3 linked regions of the Caenorhabditis elegans genome follow. Changing the gene in region 2 together with the main gene of any one other region gives a genetic interaction. Each region holds a gene or a part of one and is shown on either strand. Other genes may lie near its edges.

Region 1 (7,053 bases), on a different chromosome or scaffold from region 2:
TTGACAACAACATTCTTGCATTTTTACAATCAATTGGTGTCTCCGATAATTGTCTCATCTCATTGATCAGCTCGTTCAGATAACTGAAATATTATAAGTTCGACTCTGAAACTTAAACTTTCTTATTAACTTACAGGCTTGCGGAAGTCGAGAGCATCGTAGGATAGAACTTTTTCAAAAGTGAATAATAACGAAGAATGAGGAAATAATGAAAATATTGACTTGGACTAGAATGAGAAGGGGAGATTAGAATAAAGAAGATCACGTGAAACGTCCAAATATGAAACACTTTTATATATTTTCCAAAGTATGAGAAGATTTAAGATTAGTTATCACAAAAGAGAGATTAAAGAAGATAAACTGAAAATAATTCAAAAAGCGAATAGAGAAATTCCTAAAATCTTGGTTTCAAGAATGTTATAGGAACCGAAAAATGTTTTAATTTATTACGCTCTCTTGGATATTAAAAATTAGAAGCAAGCCTGCTTCTTGTGATACCTGCAAAGTGAGTTCTAATTATTCAAAGTTTTGCTATTAATAAAAAAATTTGAAGCGATACTGCACATGCGAGCAGATTCATTTCATGCTTGTTGTCTAAACCTTCCACGTAGACAAAAATTTATCCGCCCGCCTGGTTTTTCGACCTAAAACATTAAAGTTGTTGTAGCAGAGTTGTAGAGTTGTAGCAGAAAATAATTTGCATGGCGAGAACAAGCATTTTGGAACAAGCAAGAAGATAAACATAATCATTTTGATAAACCAAAAAAAAATTAATGTTGCTATTATTTTTGAAATCGTGAACTGCTGATTAGAAAAATGAAAACAATAGACCAGGGGGGGGGGGTGAATTTACGTGAGTTCAAAAAACAGTTTGACTTTCCTCATTCCCAGCTTTGCTCTCATCAAAGTTCATAAACGGATCAATACCAGCAAAGGATGGCAAAATACTTTGGCGCCACAGATGCATTCAATGCAATTGTTCAAAAAGTCGACGAAACACTTATTCAAGCAGAATCCCATCTTCGTAATCTTCATGAAGATACAGTGGGAGCAAAGCCGTCTGATAGTTTGCCGGACCGCACTATCGTTCCGTCCCCGTGAGTTGTATTTGCTTTTTTTCTCAGTAATATTTAAAATAATGAGCATTGAACGAATAATAACTTTTGCTCTATTGCACTCTGCTGTACGTCAAGCGTAAGCTATTGGACGTTTTGCTATGAAAATGTTGATTCTAACTTAGTGTCTAAACCTTTTCATATAGATCTTCTCAATCGGAACGTTCATGCTCCCCGGAGCCTCGTATTGTTGCTCCTCAATTGTCTGCATACTCTGGATCATCCGCTGCGTCTTCTTCTTCCGTGAATCATATTGATGTGAAGAGCAAGTCGTATTTGGCATTGGATAAGAAGAAAGCACTGATCATGACTTCGCTCAAGTCAAAGAGAGTTATGAACGATAGTGATGTGACAAAAGTTCAGAAATTGTAGGTTTTTCTGAAATTATTCTGTTAGATCAATTTTATTTTTCAGGATCGATGACTTGTTCGGAAAACAAACTTCTTCGTCCTCATCTTCCATGTCCATCCTTCAGTTGTAGCAAATAGAGATCCTATGAACTGAATAAATAGATTCATTTTCCCGTGGTTTTTTTTTAATTAGTGAAAATCATCTTAGAAGTCACATTGACGAAATTCAACTGAAAATGTTTTAAAGAAAACAAAAAACTTCTATCTTACAAGTAGATCTTGTCTTTTTCGAATGAAGAATCAAAGTCATTCGCGAGAAAATAAGACGTTTGGAGATTTTGGAATATTTGAAGCCTGCTGAGAGATTGCAGAGAGTCAGAAAGGATAATCGCCAGTTGTCGCTAACATAATAAATAGTTAATTAGCTTCTTCAAAGTTTCGTATTTATAAAACATCATTTGTCTTTTTTGATAAAGCTAAAAAGTGTAGACATCATTTAAACCTTATGATAAAACAAAAAGACAACGCCTGACCGACAAAACGCTTAAAATCCATAAAATTGAAATTAAGTCAATATTGAAAATGTTATCTATGCAATGGATCATATGCCATTTCAGATTATTGATTTATATAATCTAATTTAACACTTTAAATGTGTAGTTTCCAGAGCCAATAGTTTTATCATCAGACATCGAAAAGTGTGTACTCTTCTCTTTCTTTTTTTTTTTTCGTATTCTTTCATTTCTGCTGGCCGCAGCTCACTTTCTATCGAATACCTCTTTTCGACTCATTATCAAAAATGATCACCGACAAAAATTTGTTTAGTCGTCTTCTGATTAAAAAGAATCCAATACGTATGCACTCTCCCTCATTCTCATTTTCTCTTATCACTTCGCTCTTTTTCACTCAATTTTTCATGTTTCAACTGTCATCTATGGCTTACTTTTTTTTGACTTTAATAGCGGGGGTAACTCACTTTTACTTTCCTGGTTACCGTTTTTCATTGATTTATTTTCTCTTAAAAATTATATTGTGAAAAGATTTTTATTCCAGAAAAACTTCTGGGAAAATCAGAAAATCTAGATCATCGATACCAAAGTTCAGAGCAAAAAGTTTTAATTGAATGGACAGAAAACGTGGAAGTATAGTTCCTGCAATTCATGTGAGGTTTTAAAATTCCATATAAATGTTGATCGGTCATAAATAATTATATTACTCATTGAGTATTAAAAAACATCACAAATGTTTTCAGAAAGCAGTTGCAGAAAGTCTTCGAGCGAACAGTGTTACTGTAGAAGAAAATGAGAGTGAAAGAGAGACAGAGACACAGACAAAAAGGAGAAGAAAGAAGCAAAGAAGCACTAGTTGTAGGTTTTTTAAAGTTTATAGTTTTTGAAACATAATTACCTTAAAAGAATTCATTAACAATTTTAATTAATTTTTAATTTTAATCCAAATGTGGAAACTCGGCAATCCGCCGCAACTTATTCAACAACATTAGCAACTTTAGCGCCAAATTTATTGTCTTGCAACTTTTAGATATAGTTAGCAACTTCTTTCCCGACTTTAGCATATTTTAAACCAAGTTTAGCCAACTTTTGCGCTTGGAATTTTTGAAGTTGCTAAAGTTGCTGGAAAGTTGCAGCGAGTTGCCCAGAAATGTGATAAAAATCATGCAATTTTATTCTGAAAAGGAATTTAAAAAAAACACCTCCAGAATAAATTTTCAATTTCAGCTGACAAAGCCCCCTTGAACTCAGCTCCAAGACATGTTCAGAAGTTTGATTGGAAGGATATGCTCCATTTGGCAGACATATCTGGAAGAAAAGTTTGAGTTTTGTCAAATGATCAAAATCTTTAAAAGTGTACTGTTCAGCGCGGAAACTCGACAACAAGCCATTCTGGACACGCAACTAGAGCTGGTTCTTTGGTAAGTGGCAGAAAGTTGATACAGTGGAACAGAAATATAAATATTGTCTATTTTTATTTTTAGAAGGGAAAAAACTGGATAGAATGTCGTCTTAAAATGAGACAATGTTCATATTTTGTCCCATCGCAACGATTTTCGGAACGATGTGGATGTGGTAAGGAAAGATCAAAGCATACAGAAGAAGTATTGGAAAGAAGTCAGAATAAAAATCATCCATTAAATCATTTAACTCTTCCTGGTATTCATGAAGTAGATACAACGGATGCAGATGCAGATGATAATGAGGTAATTATTTTGAATTAAAATTATTTTCCTGAAAGCTTGTTCAGGTAAACTTAACTCCTGGTCGTTGGTCAATTCAATCACACACAGAAATTGTACCAACTGATGCATATGGAAATATTGTATTCGAAGGTATGCTTTATCTTTCTGCCTATTCTTATGTTGTGAAAAAACTTTTTTCCAAATTATCTCAAATATTTAAAAATTGAAAAGTTAATCTAAAAATTCAGGAACTGCTCACCACGCACAATATGCTCGAATAAGTTTTGATTCGGATCCAAGAGATATTGTTCATTTAATGATGAAAGTTTGGAAACTTAAACCTCCAAAATTGATTATCACCATAAACGGCGGACTAACAAAGTTTGAGTGAGTAGTTTGAAGTTAACCTTGAAAACAAATTTTAATTTGTTTGATTATTTTCAGGAATATTAGACTCACTGGAAATATTAAACTTTCAATTTTCTCTTAAACACCATTCAAAGCAGTATATAAGAGTTGAACCTGATCTTTCGTTCTAAATTAATCTCCCTTAACACCTACTGAATGTACATAAGACTCTTATAATCTTTTCCGTTCCCAGGACATACCCCTCACCTTTTTTCTATCAATTACTTCTCTTCCAAATTCCTCACTGATACCTTTACCGTTTTTTACGTCACGAAGAATGCCACAATTCTCCGAGGTGGTTGGGGTTTGATGTGATAAAATTTGATCGAGAATAATGATATCACAGAGTGGAAGCATAAATGAAGATGATAATGATAAGATAATATTTGCAGTCTGCAACCGAAATTGGCACGAACGTTCCGAAAAGGAATCATGAAGATTGCAAAGTCAACTGATGCATGGATTATTACTTCTGGGTTGGATGAAGGAGTTGTAAAGCATTTGGATTCAGCATTACATGGTTAGAATAACTATAAAACTTCATAGGAATAATAAGAGCAAGTAGATTTAAAATGAAAAATGGGAGTACGGAACAGATCTCTAGCTTCTGGTCCAGATACTTCAAAAGTTTGGAAAAATTCAAAAAGTGTGCACACATTTTAAAAAAATTGTATAAATTTGCAAAAATCTCAGCTTTGGAATTTTGGTCTTTTGGGCTATTTTGGGTTATTCAATTGGACGTCCTCCTCGCCCACTCGATGTTCATACCGAGAGGCTCACTTTTTGGTGAATACATTTTCTATATTCAATAGAATTTTCCAGGCATTTGTTGATAGCATGATATGTGAAATTTTCAAGCATAAAACATCCTTAGAGCCTGTGACTTAAAATTATAAATTTTAAAATTTAGACCATGGAAACCATACATCAAAGAATCACGTGGTAGCTATTGGAATAGCTTCGTGGGGAATGTTGAAACAGAGAAGTCGATTTGTTGGAAAAGATTCAACAGTAACATATGCAACAAATGTGTTCAATAACACAAGATTGAAAGAACTCAATGATAATCATTCGTACTTTTTGTTTTCCGACAATGGAACCGTCAACCGGTAGATAATTCAAGTTTATTAGTAAATCACAGTATTATTCAGATATGGTGCTGAAATCATAATGCGAAAACGATTGGAAGCATATTTAGCTCAAGGCGACAAAAAGAGAAGTGCAATTCCATTAGTTTGTGTTGTACTGGAGGGAGGAGCATTCACTATCAAAATGGTTCATGATTATGTAACAACGTATGTTCTGTAAATTGTCGTGAATTATAAATTGCATTCCTCAAATTGTTTTAAAACAATCAACACGTCGGTAATAGAAGTAACATTTTTCAGTATTCCCCGTATACCCGTAATTGTTTGTGATGGAAGTGGTCGAGCAGCAGATATTCTGGCTTTTGCTCATCAAGCTGTGTCACAAAATGGGTTAGTTTTAGGTAAAAGTCGTACTTCATTGTTTCTAATATTTTTAGATTTTTATCCGACAATATCAGAAATCAGTTGGTAAACATTGTTCGAAGAATATTTGGATATGATCCGAAAACAGCTCAGAAATTAATCAAGCAGATTGTTGAATGCTCTACAAACAAGTCTTTGGTAATTTCCTGATTTGTTGAAACTTCTTCAACGTTTGTTTCAGATGACAATTTTTCGTTTGGGTGAATCATCGAGAGAAGATTTGGATCACGTAATCATGTCATGTCTTTTAAAAGGTCAAAACCTATCACCACCAGAACAACTTCAACTGGCTCTTGCTTGGAACAGAGCTGACATTGCTAGAACTGAAATCTTCGCAAATGGAACTGAATGGACTACTCAAGACTTGCACAATGCAATGATTGAAGCACTTTCCAATGATCGTATCGATTTCGTACATTTACTTCTTGAGAACGGAGTTTCTATGCAAAAGTTTTTAACTTACGGAAGGCTGGAGCATCTCTATAACACTGACAAAGGACCTCAAAATACTCTGAGAACTAATCTGTTAGTTGACTCAAAACATCACATAAAACTTGTCGAAGTTGGAAGATTAGTCGAGAACTTGATGGGAAATCTATACAAATCGAATTACACAAAGGAAGAATTCAAAAATCAATATTTTTTGTTCAACAATAGAAAGCAGGTTTGTCGAGTTTATAATGATTATAAACATTCCGATGATAACATTAGCTAAAATCTTGTGTTCATGATAGTTTGTATAATCTCTTTAAACATTTCACATCAAATCAATTTATTTATGAAACACTGCTTTCTTGAGTTCAGTTCCTTTTTGTGGCTTCTTGACAGATCCGTTGATTTCCTCGCAAGTCTCCACAGTCGTCTCATCAGTTGTTTCCTTCCCATGCTTCTTCTTTTTCGTCGTCTTCCCCGTTACATTTGCATTTTGAACCGTTGTAAATGGATCCTTTCGGAAGTAAGAGCCGACGTCAGGCTGTTCCCAAGCGAACAATGGACGCTGTTTTTCGGCATGCTGTCTCTGAAACACGCAACGATGAGAATACAGAAATGGTTTATGAAAAACTTACCCATCGTTTGTAAGACGGCATGTTCTTTCCCTCCCAATCATAAGGATCTAGCCAAGAAACCCCACTTTTGTTGAACACTTCTTTGAATGCAAGGTATATCATTTCATAGTTTGGAAATGAGTTGAAAGTGCAGGCATGGAGCATGGTTTCAATTTTTCCAAATCCATCTGTAAAAAAACTATTATTTTCATTTTAAATTATAAATAACACTGACCCATGCCGAAATGATCCTTGAGCTTACTCTTGAGTTTCGTGTTTTCCAACATTTTCGCTTCGAGTATCTCCCATGGCAATGGTTTCACGAGCTCAGCAATCATATACATGAGGGACCACAAATCATCACCTCTTCCCTGAAAAAAAACATTGTTTAAATTGCCGATATTCATTCCAACTAACCAAATCGGCCAT
Region 2 (7,153 bases):
TTTTAATTTCTCTATTTGATATCCACACAAAAAATCATTCCAAGTTTAGACGTATTTTTTCTAACGACTTCTTACGTTTTCAAATAAAAATTACCTTTTTGAACATAATTTTCTTCTTTAACTTTTGAAAATGTAATCCTTTTACATCTCACCTATTTCAGTTTGTTTTACATTTTTATGACATCCTCATTTCATTTTTAAAACCATCAAAAACTTTTTCTTCTATTTTTCTTCGATTTGCACCCACTCCGAAGTGCACCTCAATCGTCAGCTGTTATCGTCCTTCAGTTTTTTTTTCAGAAAGTACACAATTTTCAAATTCACTGAGATTTCATAGTTGTGTTCTGTTCTCTTTTCTATATGATGTGATGTTTCACATCAATTATGAGTTAATGCATTATTTGTCCATTTGCATTCTAAAAATCTAATGGATGTCTGCCTGTTCCGTTTTGGTCTATCTTTTAAGGATTGCAATTTCTTTATTATCATTGAACCTGCCCTTTTTCTGTTGTCAATACATATTTTGATTTCAAAATTTATTGAACGGTATTTATGGGTTTTGATCTACCAAAAAAAATTTTCATACATTTTTTTAAAGTGAGACGTGAATTTTTTTTAAATTCTCAGGCTCGTTGACGGATTTTTTTTTGAATCCTAAAAATTGACGGAGAACTTTGAGAAATTAATACTTGTGATCAAAAACATGTGATTTTAAAATTATTAAAATCTGAATTCAGAAATTTTTCAAACATGCCTACATAATTTGTGACGTAGTATTGTAAGGAACAAAAAATGCCCTCTTATGCAAAATGTTGTGAAGAAAAACTCCATAACTTTTTTGCACTGCGCATTTTGAATATTTTCGAGCAGTCCTATTCGAACTTGCGTGCAACTGGTGAATAATTTCTTTTTTTTTTCTTTTTTTTTCTTGCATTTACTTCGCTCACACACACCGCAATTATTAGTTTCGGTCTCACCGAAATACGTGGTTCACCCACTTTTTCTGAACTCTTTAGTGTTTGCAGAACGAGAGTTGGCTGCCAGTGTGTGTATATGTGGAGGAAAATTTTATCAATACATGTAAAACTGATTGATTATAGGGCGGTCAATGATCGTTCAGTTTGATTTGTTCGCAAGACCATTGTATTTTGTTGCTCTTCTTCTACTACACTCGCCGCCATGATATTTTGTAATTCGAGAGTTTTGAAAGAGAAACTAATGAAAAGTTTCAATTTCAATTTTCGTTCCAGCAATCGTCATCGTTGTGCGCTTTTTGAACTTGATTTTACCGGAATAAGTTAACTTTAATAAAAAAATTCATTCAAAATTCAAACAATTATGTGAAATTTCTAAATTTCTCAATCCGTTAAGGTGACTCACGCTTTGCTTTTTTTTAAACAATATCACGAGGTTGTTATTGTTGTTGTGGTACAATGATGCATTCAAACATAGAATGATGAATTAATTTTTTAAAAACGATTGCTCAATCACCATTATTAAAATTGATTTGAAAATCTTCCGCAACCGTGAGAAATACACGTCACTTTTCTCAGGGTTTTGAAGGTGTTGCCATTGCCATTGTTTTCTGTTTCTTGTTTGATTTACTCCGGACAGCACACACTGAAAAATTGGCGGGAAGTTATCTTACAAGATACAATACGGACAAGCCAAAAACTTAGGATTTTGTCTAAGTTAACCCTTTTTTTTTGGAATTTTGAACCGATATACAAAGTTTATGAGCAATTTTTGTGAGAAATAAAAGGAATACAATTTTTTGAGAAATACGTATTTTTAAGTCAGATTGAGTTGAATCTTTTTTTTTTTGATTTTGCAGTCAAAACTACATCTTATCTGCCCGAAAATTTGAATAATTTTCTCTAGAATACAAAACATATATTTGTTTTCCACATTTTTCAATTTATCTTTTTTCGACTAGAAATACATATTCACGGTCAATTTTTATCACATAAAAGTTATATGGCAACTTATGATGAATCAATTTTCAATAAAAATGACGTGGTGGGCCCCTAACAAAGACCTAAAAATATCCATGGATGCAACTTTATTAGTTGCTACGAAACCAAAGAAAAATGCGTAGCACACACACTAATCTTTCGTTTTTCTTTGTTGCTTCTTTCTTGCATTTTTCATTCATTGTAATTTCTTTTTATTGCAGCATTCCACTTCCACTTCTCTTGATTGAATTGAATAGCATCGTTTTTTGAACCCTCATCTCCTCTCGAGGAAAAACTGAGAAATTTAAATTGCCGAGTTTGGAGCTTGGTGAAGGGAGAAGCCGTGTCATCGCGATTTGTATTTTTTTCAGTGCAGAGTCACGCACCACGTACATCAAACTTTAGAAATTTGTGGGGCTCTTATCAGAGAAATGAAAAAAAAAATGAATTGATAAAAAAAAGGGAAACCAGACTGAATTTGATAATTAGCTTTATGACGGGTCTTCTCTTTTTTCTTTTTTCTATTTAGGTATGCAAACAATATAACTTAGAGAATTTTTTTAAAATTTCGAACAATAACACATTTTTCCGACAATTTTTCTAACTCACCATCTCTTTCTGTTTTTTTGTTTTTCTTGTTTCTGATTAAAATTTCTATTGTTCCCAATGAGTCATTATTTTCCAGAGCCTTCACACTCGAATTCCTATCAACCTGTACCGTTCAATGTCAAAGACACCATGGGCTCTCGGCCTCCTGATATTTTTGCTCACTTTCACATCGCCACTGTCTTCTTCTCCGGTAAGAGCAGCGAAAAAAATGTGTGCCACGAAATCACAATGTGTGATGTCAGTACACTGACAATCTTTTGAAATGCGTTTCCAGAGGGTAACTTGCATTTGGCCTCTAATTGGAAGCATTTTCAATAGATAAGCGTCGCGTGTCCTTGGTTTCTGATCAAAAATGTATACAACAAATTGTTGTATAGGAAGAAATAGTCGTTCCAAAAGTTAACAGGGGCTATAGATTTATAAAGAAAATTAAAATTTTGAAACAATTAGTATATGAATAAATATACAATTATTGGTCATTAAAGGTAGAGTAGCGCCAGTGAAAGTTTTGCTTAAACACAATCATAATGATCGAATATCATAATAAAACAAAACACTTCAGATTGTTAAAATTTCAAGTCAAAGTTTTGGCAAATTGCCAATTTTTGCCAAGAGCAATTTCGCATGTTCCAGGATTTTTTGACACGAGTATTTGAAACAAAATAATAGTTTGAAAATCATATAAATATTTTTTTGGTTGATATCCCAAATTATGAGTGACAAAACTGAGTGATAGTCATTTTTTGGCAGGTAATAAAACATTTCCAAATTTGTTTTGAAAAGTTTTACTACGCTATTTAGTCTTTGTAGTTTCAAAAACTTTCTTTTAAACAATTTTTCAATTTCAATTTCAGTGCAAAAGTATCTTTCTTCAAAACTTTGAATAAAGCCAGACAAAAAAGGAACTTTCATTTTTTATTTAATTTTCAGGTCCGCTCCACTGACAATTCAACCTCATCAAAAGGATTATTAAATGTCAACTCTTCTGTGATATTGGAACCTTCAATTCTGCCAAGTTCAGCCTCAAAACCGGAATCACTTCATTTATCAAAAGTTCGAGTTTCGGGACTTCGCCTCGAAGCTCACGCCTCTTCTACTGAAAACATTGTTCTCGGACACAATAAGTAATACGGGGCTGATTAGAATATATACTAATTTTTAAAATCCTACTTTCAGAAAACACAATGTCGTCGTTGTCCCAAATAAGAATGTTCGAGTTGTTCTGTTCGGCCAAAATTTTCAAGACATCGGAGCTCTCACTTTCACAGCAGACGGGTCTTGTAAAGATTTGGCACATTTCTTTGAAGCCGATTTTTCTTCTATGACACCCATTCGTGTCGTTGTTGAGATGAGCTTTCCAAAGTGAGTTGATGAAAAAAAGTTTGTAAATATGAAATGGTTTTAATTCAGAACCACTGAATCAAAGGACAGTTTCAAACTCTGCGTGTCAGAAAAGTTTTATGCCAACCCTCAGTTTGTTATAGTAGAAGATCCGTTCACAATGGTCACCACTGAAATTCCGCCCGTTGATGAGTATATGCCAAAATGGCTTTCGGTGAGTTTCTGATTCCAGATATAAGCGATAGAATTAACATTAATAATTAGAAAACCATGTTTAATTTTGCAACATTTAAGCTGTTGCTGAAAAAGTTGAAATGTTAAAAAAAACAATGAAAAATCATATACGATGAATTTTATTTCCTTTAGATAAACCTTCCATTTAAAATATGGTTTTTGAGTTACAGTCGTAATCATCATTAAGAATGAACTCACGAGGTGTCGGCTGCTATATATTTTTCTATGACTTTTGTGGATCATTTAAGTATCTAGAGTCAAGTAGACATGGAAAACATTCTTTTGATGAACATTTTTCGATAGCATGTTTAGTGGTAAAATTAGCAAAATTATCAAAGCATAAAACAATTGTGTAAAAACTTTAAAAACTCATTTAATTAACTATAGTTCATTTCATTGCTTTTTTCAGTGGATCTGTTTATTAATCCTTCTGTGCTTCTCTGGTTTGTTCTCCGGTCTCAATCTTGGATTGATGACTCTGTCTCCGTATGAGCTTCAGCTTTACATCGCAAGTGGTACTGAACAAGAAAAAAGGGACGCTGGAAGAATTCTACCAATTCGCAAAAAAGGAAATCAACTGTTGTGCACATTATTGATTGGTAACGTAGTTGTAAACGTCGGCGTTTCGCTTTTGATGGACCAATTAGTGGGCAGCGGGTTTGCTGTACTTGTTGCGGCGACATCTTGTATTGTCGTGTTTGGAGAAATCATTCCACAAGCATTATGTGTGAAGTAAGGGTTTACGTAACCTGTGTGTACTTATAATTTTGAATCTCAGGCTAGGACTCCCGATTGGTGCAAGAACAATTCCAATCACACAAGTTCTCCTTTTCCTGATGTATCCTCTGACGTGGCCAATATCTAAGGTTTCATAAATTTTCTATTATCAGCCAGGAATTTGACCTTTATTCAAAAAATAATAATTTCAAATGTTTGCATGTTTTTGCAGGTCCTCGATATCTTCTTGAAAGAAGAGCTAACACGCTCGTTGGAGCGGAACAAGCTTGTCGAAATGCTCAAGTTATCCGAGAAGAGCATCATTGGAGGGCAATCTGACGAATTTAAAATGGTATTGGGTGCACTCGAGCTTTACGACAAAACCGTCGCCCACGCGATGACCCGTTACGAGGACATTTTTATGTTGCCCCATACGTTGACACTTGGCGCTGGAATGGTGACACAGATTTTAGATATGGGTTATACGCGTATTCCGATTTACGAAAGTAAGACATTTGGGGGTGAATCGTTGAATGGTGAGCTATAAAGAAACTGCATGGATAATTTATAAATTCGCAACAAAAAAAATTGTTAAATTGAAAATGTTTGCTGGGGGTAAAGCTAAAAAATGTTTAATCTTTGAAATAAGTCACGACAACTGAATTAGTAAAACTTATAATATTTGGTAATCATAGGAGTGATTTTAAATAAATTCCCTTATTGCCGCTAATCAACGTTCAAAAAATATTATTCGGCCAGGAAAAATCTAAAAAATTTATTGATGGAGTTATGTGAGAGGCTTTAGATTTATTTTACAAAAATACAACATTTACCAAAAGTATCCCAAAGCCTTTGTATAACTCTGGGCACCCTTAATAAGATCCAGATATAAAACCTGCAAACATCCGCAATTTTTCAAACCTCTCTAGTTGTGAACAGAAGAACTGAAAAATTTAAGATCAAGATTTTTCTATTATAGTTCAAAGTGTTTTCCAAATTTTTTTTGTATTTAGAGAACTAATTTAAAGGTTTTCTTTCGCCTGGCATAGGTTTTATTTGAAAAAGTGAGCTGAAATAACTATTTTGCCTGAAAATTCAATTTGATAGCTTACCAAAATCAGAGAAAATAAATAAATAAAATCAATATTTCAGATGACCGTAAGAACATTGTCGCACTTCTGTTTGTAAAAGATCTCGCATTGCTCGATCCTGACGATAATCACAATGTCATGAAAATCGCCTCAATTTACAACCATGAAGTTCGTCGTGTGTTGGTAGACATGCCACTCCGAAATATGTTGGAAGAATTTAAACGGGTAAGAACGCCTCGCTTCCAAAGACTCAATTCAATTAAGTGGATCAATCTTACCCGGTTTTTAAAAGCTTGAAAAAAAGCTTTTCAAAAGATATTTTCAACTTCATGTGTCTAGAAAAAAAACATTTAATCTACTAGAGTTCAGGGCGAATATCACATGGCGCTGGTCGAGCGACTCGTCGAGCAAGAAGATAAAGACCCGATTTACGAGCTCTGTGGACTGATTACCCTCGAGGACATCATTGAGGAAATCATTCAGTGCGAAATCATTGATGAAACTGATGCAGTGTGCGATAATGTGCACAGGAAAAAACGGCAGAGGAAGAGGGTTAGTTGACTTTTGAACAGGTACATACTAGTTGCTTAAAGGCGGAGATAGTCTGTGGAGATTAGTCATAATATCATACATTTATTATAGTCCAACACAGTAGAACATCATATTTAAACATTTTTTCAGTAAAAAGTTTTGGTAAGCTGTCGAATTTTCCAAAAATGTAGACCAAACATGTAGAGTAACAGGTTCAACCCCTAGTATCTTTAAAATTAGAGTACCGTTAGTTGGGACATTGCTTTAGAACAGAGACATTGCTTCAGAACCACAATTATCAAATATCATAGTAACAAAAAATAAAAATTACATGTTTCATATCATGTTTTGAAATTGTCAAAATCTCAGTTTTTGCCACTTTTTTGGAAGTCAAAAAAAAACGATCAAAAAATTTTTCCCTAATTTTATGATTTACATATGCTACAAATATTAATATTTAAACATTGTAACATTCGATAGTTTTCTCAAAAAATGGCAAAAACTCAGTAATTGCCACTTTTGACAGTCGACTAAAAATTTTTCAAAATTTATTTGAATTTTTTTCTACGATTTTAGACATTTTTTTAACGTTGTGGTACCATAGACATGTTTTAAAGCAATTTTCCCATTTGAGCTGCTCCACCTTCAAATACATAAAATTTAAATGCAAGTACG
Region 3 (10,082 bases), on a different chromosome or scaffold from region 2:
CTTTGACCAAAGTTGGAATGGCTCTAAGTAGTTGTCCACCTTGAATTGTTCCAACTTTCGTTTATCATCCGATTTTGGGTTTTGAAGGAACTCATGGAACTCATGATCTCCAAATCCGATATTCGCGGCGTCTTGTGACGTGGCACCGTAGTAAATTGCATCGACACGAGACCAGAGAGCAGCTCCCATACACATTGGACATGGATAGCAGGAAGTGTAGAGTTGACAACCGGATAGATCAAAGTTGTCTGGATAAATAATAGATATATGGCCAATTTGAATATAATTATATAACAGTAGATAGGATAAATAGGGAAAATAAATTAAGACGCTTCTGATCTTTTAGCAGATCTCAAATTCTCACAAAACCCCTAATAATTAGTATTTCAGTAAAGGCTTGCATGGAATCCAGGAAGTAACTTCTTACCTAAATTAAATTAAAAAGTACAGTGAACCAAATTATAGGCAATCAAAAAAGTCAAAAACCAAACACTGAAGATCAAAGCAGTAAGTGATGTCCAAACAGTGATATCTTGTAAGGAATTTACTAAATAAAAAACAATTGTAAAAAATTATAAATTATTTTCGAAATTTTGGATTCAAGAAACTAATTTTGTTTCCTTTACTAAAGTTAAAAACGAAAGGAATACTTACCGACATTCTTACAAGTATTTCTGATGGCTGTAACTTCGGCGTGTGCTGTTGGATCCTTGGTGACTAAAACCATGTTATGCCCACTACCGATTACCTTCCCATCCTTGACAATTACAGCTCCAAATGGTCCACCGTCTCCCTTCTCCATTCCTTTCTTGGCTTCTTCGATTGCGAGTTTCATGAATTCCATTTTTCTGAATTTTCAAGAAATGTTTCGATTAACCGAGTTTTTTCACGGATGAAAAATTTATTAGAAACAAAAATAAATAAAAAAATATCAAAACTACAAATGAATGAATATGTTGTAAAAACTATAGTTGCCAAAAACTTTCACTTTAACAAAAATTTGACATCGAGAGAGTACGCCAGAGATGAAGAAAAAGAAGGCGTGGGAAAAGAACAAAAAAGGAAAAGAGCGATCGGAAGCCAGTCAACCAAACAAAAAATGATGATGAACTGAATATTGTGGAGGTGTTTTCGATAGTTGCAGACATGGAAACGTATTAGATTTTAAAAATTTGTGTGTGGCAAGAGGAATTTTGATATCGAAGTTCAATAAATAGAAATTCAGAATTTAATATTTTATTGAAATCACAGGAAATTTAAAAATTGCAGAGACTTTTTTCGATATTTGGGGTACGACCAAAAAAAAAGAACAAAAATTGAAGTAGTTGTCAAACGTTGCCTTCTGTAAACTTTCAAAAACGGTACCTACTGTCTCACTGCGCCTTCAAAAAACGACAGTAATCCATTGCCCGTTTGTTAGTTGTGCTCTTCCTTTTCTCACTATTTGTATCTAAAAAGAAACAGATAAAATTATACGACAGAATATGAATATGACTAAAAATTCAAAGAAAAATTTCAATGGTTTACTGTGGTTGTTAAAGGTGCATACCTTTTTTGCGGCGGCTACGATTTGAAAATGTTCGCGCTGTGAACCAGCCCGAAATTTTTGTAATAAATTGAAATCTTTCGCAACTGGGTAATAACTCAAACTTTTTTAACTACAACTTTATAACCTGCAATTTCACTTTTAAAATGTGCGTCATTCTATGCAAATTTCTGAATTTATAATTCTCTCCGAGTTTATCCATATTAACGTCATTGCAAAATACTATGTACATGTGCCCTCAAAAAATTTTCCAATTTCTCTTTACTGAAAGTACTACGCTTTTTATTTTCTTTGTGTGCACCTTTCAAAAGTCATGCTCAATTTTGTATAGATTCCAACCGCTATTTATCTACGGAAGGAAAAAAAAACCCAACACAGAAAAAAACAAATTGACGTGTCTCTAGCTTCCCTGCGCTTCTCTCTCTCAAATGCTCTTTTATCTATCCCATGTTCGCCATTTACATCGGCTCTAAATAACACCTCTAAGCTTTCTTGAAAGATGAGTAGAATATTCAGAAGCCAAGCTTCGAGATCGATGCGGTTAGAGCAAATTCCCCTCGAATCGGTGAGATAATAAATGTATTGTTTTAAGGGTTGAAAACTGCAAAATTGCATGTTTGCATGGTCTTAACCAATTTTTGATTGACTGATAACGATAATTTCTGATAATTTTGGACTTTAGGTGAGTATTTCTTTTTAGTTCTTCGTTTTTTAAAGAGAAAATAAATACCATAAGATTGACCGGCGTCAGATATTGTGCATGGTACGCAAAGACACCGCGCGGTGTACCTCACTAGTAGGATTTACGCGGGCGTTGGTCTCGGAAAATTATTTTTTAATTGTTCAAACAATTATTTGTTTTTGTTTTTTATAAATAGCATGTTAATCATAAAAATATATATTTTTTAAAAATTAGAATTCATATTTTGTACGCTTATATTAACCGCCACTCGCATCGAAATCAATTTTTCATTAATACAACGTTATTTAATATTTCATGATTTCAGATGTCTCGCCGGAGCACAACTGATCGTTCAGACTTCAACGATAATGCTTCGAATGCTTCTTCAAATGCTTCTCGAAGGCCAACAATAAATTTTCAAGAAATAATGGAAGATCTTCCGCACCACGAAAGAGAAACCGGCGAACGTCTTCGCCGTCATCTCCAATTCTTTTTTATGAATCCAATGGAGAAATGGAAAGTCAGACATCAACTGCCCTATAAGTTGGTTCTACAAGTGCTCAAAATAGTTTTCGTTACCATGCAATTAATTTTATTCGCGGAAATGCGCATGTCTCATGTTGATTTTCTCGAAGACACCACAACAGTTATGAGACATCGATTTTTAAAAGAATGGAATGACGACAGAGATGCATTACAATATCCACCAGCTGAAGGAAGATATTCGGTTTATGATGATCAAGGATTATCCGAGCATTTGAGCTTTTTGATTAATTCTGTAAGTCGCTTTGGAGAACTATCTTGTAAAATGATCAATATTGTTTCAGTATTATTCAATTCGCAATGATTCATTTGCTTCATTTTCCTATGACGTTGTAAGTCATCCATCTGGAAATCTTGGCGCTCAAATTAGTTTTGAATCTATTCCACCTATTGAAGTTCTTATCGATCGAATTTCCAACGTAACAGTGAACAATAACACTTATAATTTCGACATTCGTGAAGTGAAAGGTATATAAACATACTATTATGAAATAAAAATAGTTTATTTCTAGACACGAAACGTCTGAATCTAACAGAAACGGAAGTCTTCCAAATCGGACAATCCGATGATGCTGTTCGAGATATTCTCGCCACTCGTGGAATCACATTTCTCCCAGAAGACGCGCTCAAGATATCGACGGTCCAATTCAAATTTCGACTACGAACAATTCATTATTCACCAACAGCCGGAGATCAGAAACCAGAATGCTATAAGATATCAGTTTCTATCAAATTTGATAATTCAAGGCATACAGGACAGGTTCATGTCACTCTATCAACTGTGGTTTCTTATGTGAATGTTTGTAATGGAAGGATCATCAAAGGTGAACACTTCACTTTTTTCAAATTTTCAAAGTAAAGCTAGTAAAAATTATAGATTATGTAATCGAAAATTACCCAATTAACATAGAATTCCAATAATTAATGGTGAAGAATCATCAAATGGGATGCTATTAAATATAACTTCAAATCTTTTATAAAAGTCTTTCTGAAACTTCGTGTTAAAATCTACATAACTTTATTTGCCTAAAAAAGTTCTTCTTGAGAGTAACATTTAGATTTTAGGTATTCAAAAATTTCCCAATTAACTTGAAATATTTAACTTCTAGGTGTACTTCTGTGTTTAAATAAAAATGAATTTTGTAATATTAAAATATCAAAATATAAAAATTCAATCAATCTCGAGTTAGGTCAAGTTTCAGGTGTTGGATGGTCATTTGACACACTTTTAATCGGCGGAACCGATATTTTCGTTCTCATTCTTTGCATTCTATCACTGATTCTCTGCTGCCGAGCCCTCATCAAAGCCCATCTACTTCAAATCAAAACAAGCGACTATTTTGAGAATGTACTCAAAAATAAGATCACCGTTACCGATCAACTCGATTTTCTGAATTTGTGGTATGTGATGATTGTGGTCAACGATGCGCTTATTATCATTGGAACTGTTGCAAAAATATCCATCGAGTTTCAGGTAATTTTTATAAAAATTTAAGTTTAATTCAAATGAAAAATTCCCTCCAATACTCAAACATAAAATATATTAAATTTAGTTCAACAAAAATACTTTTACTACAAGAAATGTGAGTAAAAATTTATATTTCCAATAACTTCCTTTCTGTATCTGTCCGTCCCATTGTTTCCATCAACTTTTCATCCCGGGATTTATCGAAACCAAATTGCCCCTCTGTATTGATTAGAAAATTATTTTCCATTAATTCTTGCATAAAACTAAGATTATTGCTTTCTTTTCAGGATTTCGACAATTCCCTCTTCACGCTAACTTCGATTTTCCTCGGAATGGGAGCTTTGCTGGTATATGTCGGAGTTCTTCGATATTTTGGATTTTTCAGTCAATATAATGTGAGTTGTTTCAAATTGCTTTATTTCATTACAACAACATTTGATCGTGTTGGAATACCAACTCCGGATATGGAATTACTTGTTATTGTAGTCTTATGCGAGTGTACTGTAGTGTAATACATTATCCAAGGTGGGCAACATATGGAAATATCCAGTGCGAATGCACGTAGATCTTGACATGTTTCACGAATGAATGACGAAGTACCAGTGTAGATCATTATCAGAGCCTATAAAAAATTTTTAAAAAAGTAAATACTCCAATAATTCATTATTTCCTTACCTGTAATAAAGCCTGCAGTACCAGTGAAAAACATACCACTAACGCTATAGAAAACATTGCAATTTCTACTCGTCGTGTTCTTTTTCGATGAAACTTAAAATTGATTATGCTTCTAATATAATATTATTCAAACTAACTTCGTTCTGAGTACCACTAGCCGTTTTTACTGTTTGAATTGTCGTTTTGTACTTAACAATTGTTGTGAAATTCGCTGCAACACATATTACGGCGAGAAGAATCGACACAAAACACAGCGCCGTACTGTTTCTAGGCTGTAATTTTATTGATTTTCATATTTTGTGTTTGGTGGAAACCATACCAAAAATCCTATCAACAGTTTCACTCTGTATACCATTTGATAATTGGATCGATTTTCGTATAGTGGTAAGAAATAAGCGTCATAGGTGACTAAGTGCCATGTAGTAATTAATGGAAGAATGTAGACAAGTGCGATTGCACTGCGGACGTTCTTTTGCCAAAACTTTAATTTTTTAGGAGATTCATATTTTTCGGATGGGAAGGCTCACCGAATTACAGTAATACGGGAAAAGTACAGAAGTCATTCGATTGATGCATATTAATGTTATTGAATAAAAGTTCACATAGATCAAGTAATACGAGAGAAAGTAGATTATAGTCATAGGTATTCCTTCTGGGATGTATGAAGGAAGATTTTCAAAAAGACCAGAAATTGGAAGACGTGTAAATAGAAAGTCGATTATAAAAAGTGCAACATTCTGAAAAAGTTTACACTTTTTATCCGAAAGGTCTATGTACTTACAATATAGAAATCATTTGTGAAAATCACATTGAAATAGCTGCTAGTGACGCTTTCCTTCGTCAAAAACGTGCGGCATTTATGATATGCTATAAATGATGGAACAGTGTAGAGTAGATGAATTAGAAGTAGAGGTTGTCTGGAAATCTCGATTACATTTTAGGCGCGAAATGTTGAAATTTTTGCTGGTATATAATAAAAAAAAAGCGGATGAATGTCCAGAATTCGATTAAGCTCCTTATTTTCGTGAAATTTTTTGCTTAATTTACGTTTAAAATATGTTCAAATAAACTTACCTATAATCAAACGCATATGCCACATTTCTAATTTCACCATCAGATACTGAAACTACTGTTTCGTTTCCATGCGAGAAAATGGAACTCATTCGAAAAAATTGTTCGAAATGAAGAAGACAAAGAAAAAGGAAAAGAGCTCAATGGTCTTCAAATTTAATTGAAAAGACCACCGACCAATAGAATGTTGCCCTGCAAACAACAAGTTTTAAACTTGTGAAAATTGGGGAAATTAAGGGGAGTAGATGGAAGGATCCATTTACATTAACAAGCTAAAGCATACTACAAACATTACAAAATTAAGGATTGGCGTATGTATATATATATATTGAAAGCTTCGAACTGGAAAACTTCGACTTGATTAGACGACGTCTAACAACGCGTGATTAAGATTTTGTTGTTCATAGAAACTGAGTTAATTAATCACGCATTGTCTAGAATGATGTCAAAGTGTATTTGATGTGAAAAGTGCAAATGTAAATGAAAATTCTCCAGAGATTAAATATTTCTTTAATTTGATATTGTTTCACTGGTGCCCCCAAAAGTATCACGTTTGAGAGAAGGAAAAGTTTAAAAGAGAAGTCAAAAAGCCGTATCTAAAACCTTGGCACAACTAAAATAAAGAGGGTCTTATGTCAAAACATAAATCAATTTTCATACCTCTTTTGTTTCTTCCTGGTATCTTGAAAATTGGAAACGAGAAAATGATGTCAACAATACCGAATTTTTAAATATTCTTAACTCTTTCTTTTAAGAGAAAATCTTTTTCTGAAAGTTTACAAAAATGAATCCGAATTTTTATTCAAATTTTTGCTGTTGGTGAGAAAAACATGATTAAAATAATTTCAAAAAATGAGAATAATTGCCAAAAAAAAAATTTGATAGTTGCTCTTCGATTATCCGCAAGATATAAATTTGAAAATTCCAAAAAAATTAAAAATTATTTTTAAATGTTGTAGTGAGTAGTTCTAGCTAATTTCCGAAAAAAGGAAAATATAAAATAGAAAAAAAACCATTTTAATTTTATAAAAATTCGGGAAAATTCTTGAAATTTACGTTCTTTAATTTTTCAGATAAAATTTAAAAAGCAAGATCCTATGTTAAATAATTGGCACAATCTAGAACAAGCCAGTTCTAGATTGAGCCAATTATTTAACAAAATCACTCTATAAGTAAAAATAACCGCAATCAAAGAGAAAAGCTAAATATAATGGAATGATTAAAATACTAAAAAAACTTTTAAAAAAGCTTCTGCTGGTTTCAAACGATAAAAGTGAAGGAAAAATGTTTATTTTTGCCATTTTCCAGATCCTCATGCTCACGCTCAAACGATCGGCACCCAATATCATGCGCTTCATGACGTGTGCCATTGTACTTTACGCTGGTTTCTTGATTGCCGGATGGGTTATTATTGGCCCGTACAGTATGAAGTTCCGTACACTGGCAGAATCATCGGAAGCTCTATTTTCGCTTCTCAACGGTGACGATATGTTCGCCACGTTTTACACTATTAATGATTCCAATACAGTTATCAAGGTAAAGATTTTTCTTTTTTTTTTCTAGATTATCTTAAATATTTCAGGTATTTGGGACAGTGTACATCTACCTATTCGTGTCACTCTTTATCTATGTAGTATTATCACTGTTCATTGCAATTATCATGGATGCATATGAAGTCGTCAAGGTAATAATGAACAGAGCAAATGAACATGAAAATGAGAACAAAAAGCTCGAAAAAACAACTGAAGAAAGAGCAATAGACCACGCCAATGGGATGCTGTTTGAGTGTTGATGAAAATTGGAAAAATGAAAACAACAAGAAAGCAATAGCTCTTCATTTTCCTTGCCCATCCATCTATTTTTAATTATTGCGGCGAAAAATGAAAGATGATCAAGTGCTTACTCGCAGCTAAAAATGAAATTCTATGTCAGAAGACAAGGAGACTAGTCAAATGTCAGATTTCGGTGTAACCAATGATTTAGTTTTTGTCTTGCCGAGGTCTGAAAGAGAAAGCATAGACACCACCAGTCTCAAATTATTTTTTTTTTTTGAGAATTCATCATTCTGTAACTAGTGAAACTCGAAATTGGCTCAAAGAAATGAGAACCCACCCTTTTTGACATACGTATTATAGGTTTGCAGAAAATTTGACTTTTGAAATTTAGGTGCAAGTGCGCATCAATCACTTTTCAACTTCACATGCATTTATTTAAAAAAAAAACATAATTTCGACTTGAAAAACTGAAAAAAATAAAAAAAATAACGAAATTTTTTTCAAATTTCTACTGAATTTACGGTCTGGTCAGGGCGGGGAATTTTTTACGCGCCTCCATAATATTAACCATGTTAATGAATTTTTAAATTTAAGAAATAACAAAACGGTAAAAGTTAATAATTATATCTCATTCATTCCAGGATCGCTACTCAGACGGTCTTCGAGCCATCGAAAAACGTGGATGTCTTCGCGATTTCGTGGAATCGAATCCACCGCCGTCGGAACTCGGCTCACCGACGACTCGATCCGCCTACGCACCGTCTAATCTGCTCAATCTGGGTCGGTGCGTGCCTGTTGAAGTGACACGAATCTTTCTCTGTTCAGGCTTTCTACACACTTTTTCATTTTTCTTACATTTATGCACGCCAAACAAACTTGGTTGCTAGTTTTGGTGATGGTGTTGTGACAGCAGCAACTAACAGCGTCGTGTAGTGGTTTGACAGTACTAAAACAATCACAAAAGCATTAAAACAATTAAAATATAGAATAACAGTCTCTAGATTACAGTTAGCATAGTAGCACGTACAAAAAACTAACTAGATATTGCAGTTGTTCATCAGTTCGTTCGAAAACATTCAGTTTCTCTAATTTCAGCGGCTGGCAACGACTCGAGTAGAGCTCTTCGTGCTCTTCATGCCATTGACAATGCTCGCGATTGGCTGAGCAGCTTAAGAGATGGAACTCGGTAATTTTAATTTTAAAAGTGTATTAGGAGGGCTTGTTTCGTTTTGCAAGTTTTCGACTAAAATCTACTAAAAATTTTCGATACTCTATTAACTGAACGAGATAATTTGAAAATTGATAAATAATCCCTCTGGTTTTTCAGTTTTCAATCATTCTCCAACCCGCTGAACGACTCAAATGAAGATGTATTAGCCGACCAAAATGCCAATGGAAACGATCCTCACAATTCTAGGCCATCGAATGTATAGAGTTTCTCAATTTAATTTTCTTTTGTTATCAAAAACAACTTTGTCTGTATTTTTGGTCATCTTCATTCATCTTCCATCCCATCCGTTTCTTTCTCCTTCCTCTTTCATATTTATTCCCCTCTGAACAACCTACTTATCATGTGTATATGTGGTGCTATGTACTTTTGTGATATTCTTCTTCCGTTTTGTTCGTGATTTATAATTTGTGATTTCTTGAGAACTTAATAAATTGTAATTTATTCAAATAATTCAATAACTTTATTCCAAGTATTAATCAATACAATCAATAGAAATATCCCAGACACGATTCTTCTCTTCAATGATCTTCTCGATATTCTCCGATGCTGGAACAAATGCGATCATCTGAATGCCCAACGTCTCGTCAACTTTCAACACACATCCAGCGTTCTTGTAGAAGTTGCAGTACATTGGAGCAGAGAAGATGGTGATAAGCTTCCGTCCACTCAATACCCAATAACCATCGAAACACATTTGGTGAGCACGGATGATAAGCTCGACACCAAGACGTTTACAAACGTCATCAATCACATTTGTTCCGAAGGTGAAACCAGATCCACGGGAACTTGCCTTCCATTCAAAAACAGATGGATCCGGATCAGCCCAGAGCATGTCATTCACAATTCCACGGAATGGGTTGCGAATTGGTTTCGGGTGATTGCGAAGTTCCTGAAATGGAATTTTTAGGAAAAAACGACTTCTGTTAACTAACATCAAGACATGTCAGAGCAGGAGACAATCCACCATGCATGCATAGAATCTTTGTAGCGATCAAAGCGGAGATTGGAAGATTGTTGAAACAACGCTGAAATATTTTTAAATACAGAACGTCTAGAATGAGAACACATACCTGGAACAAAGCCCAAATCTC

What was found. Genes that interact genetically often act in the same process or in processes that back each other up.
Region 1: of cnnm-3 (region 2) and gtl-1, changing one suppresses a phenotype caused by changing the other (phenotypic suppression), as found in Caenorhabditis elegans (one study listed by BioGRID).
Region 3: of cnnm-3 (region 2) and cup-5, changing one suppresses a phenotype caused by changing the other (phenotypic suppression), as found in Caenorhabditis elegans (one study listed by BioGRID).

What each region holds. Positions count from the first base shown.
Region 1 is NC_003282.8:11,255,001-11,262,053, reverse strand, and holds the start of gtl-1 (TRPM SLOG domain-containing protein), read left to right. Parts: upstream 1-2,518; 5' UTR 2,519-2,588; coding exon 2,589-2,627; intron 2,628-2,717; coding exon 2,718-2,832; intron 2,833-3,201; coding exon 3,202-3,293; intron 3,294-3,341; coding exon 3,342-3,395; intron 3,396-3,458; coding exon 3,459-3,680; intron 3,681-3,724; coding exon 3,725-3,809; intron 3,810-3,907; coding exon 3,908-4,046; intron 4,047-4,459; coding exon 4,460-4,587; intron 4,588-4,977; coding exon 4,978-5,176; intron 5,177-5,218; coding exon 5,219-5,362; intron 5,363-5,455; coding exon 5,456-5,545; intron 5,546-5,592; coding exon 5,593-5,716; intron 5,717-5,759; coding exon 5,760-6,242; intron 6,243-6,332; exon of another isoform or gene 6,333-6,350; coding exon of another isoform or gene 6,351-6,596; intron 6,597-6,645; coding exon of another isoform or gene 6,646-6,812; intron 6,813-6,859; coding exon of another isoform or gene 6,860-6,995; intron 6,996-7,041; coding exon of another isoform or gene 7,042-7,053. Other genes in the region: F54D1.1 (KHDC4/BBP-like KH-domain type I domain-containing protein), read right to left, coding at 1-83, 135-157; C05C12.5 (Phosphoprotein), read left to right, coding at 937-1,097, 1,262-1,483, 1,530-1,596; C05C12.1 (Protein kinase domain-containing protein), read right to left, coding at 6,351-6,596, 6,646-6,812, 6,860-6,995, 7,042-7,053.
Region 2 is NC_003284.9:3,041,333-3,048,485, reverse strand, and holds the start of cnnm-3 (Metal transporter cnnm-3), read left to right. Parts: upstream 1-2,638; 5' UTR 2,639-2,679; coding exon 2,680-2,754; intron 2,755-3,494; coding exon 3,495-3,688; intron 3,689-3,740; coding exon 3,741-3,926; intron 3,927-3,974; coding exon 3,975-4,119; intron 4,120-4,548; coding exon 4,549-4,871; intron 4,872-4,917; coding exon 4,918-5,005; intron 5,006-5,088; coding exon 5,089-5,362; exon of another isoform or gene 5,363-5,392; intron 5,393-6,008; coding exon 6,009-6,172; intron 6,173-6,316; coding exon 6,317-6,499; intron 6,500-7,153.
Region 3 is NC_003281.10:7,582,136-7,592,217, forward strand, and holds cup-5 (Polycystin cation channel PKD1/PKD2 domain-containing protein), read left to right. Parts: upstream 1-2,547; 5' UTR 2,548-2,553; coding exon 2,554-3,006; intron 3,007-3,055; coding exon 3,056-3,239; intron 3,240-3,283; coding exon 3,284-3,595; intron 3,596-3,961; coding exon 3,962-4,245; intron 4,246-4,324; coding exon of another isoform or gene 4,325-4,354; intron 4,355-4,526; coding exon 4,527-4,634; exon of another isoform or gene 4,635-4,654; coding exon of another isoform or gene 4,655-4,861; intron 4,862-4,914; coding exon of another isoform or gene 4,915-5,007; intron 5,008-5,051; coding exon of another isoform or gene 5,052-5,186; intron 5,187-5,233; coding exon of another isoform or gene 5,234-5,395; intron 5,396-5,441; coding exon of another isoform or gene 5,442-5,651; intron 5,652-5,695; coding exon of another isoform or gene 5,696-5,831; intron 5,832-5,988; coding exon of another isoform or gene 5,989-6,077; exon of another isoform or gene 6,078-6,179; intron 6,180-7,293; coding exon 7,294-7,521; intron 7,522-7,567; coding exon 7,568-7,669; intron 7,670-8,401; coding exon 8,402-8,540; coding exon of another isoform or gene 8,541-8,647; exon of another isoform or gene 8,648-8,855; coding exon 8,856-8,946; intron 8,947-9,087; coding exon 9,088-9,193; 3' UTR 9,194-9,446; and 1 more. Other genes in the region: gda-2 (CMP/dCMP-type deaminase domain-containing protein), read right to left, coding at 1-248, 655-844; R13A5.15 (Serpentine receptor class gamma), read right to left, coding at 4,655-4,861, 4,915-5,007, 5,052-5,186, 5,234-5,395, 5,442-5,651, 5,696-5,831, 5,989-6,077; R13A5.11 (Serine/threonine-protein phosphatase), read right to left, coding at 9,464-9,880, 9,924-10,016, 10,062-10,082.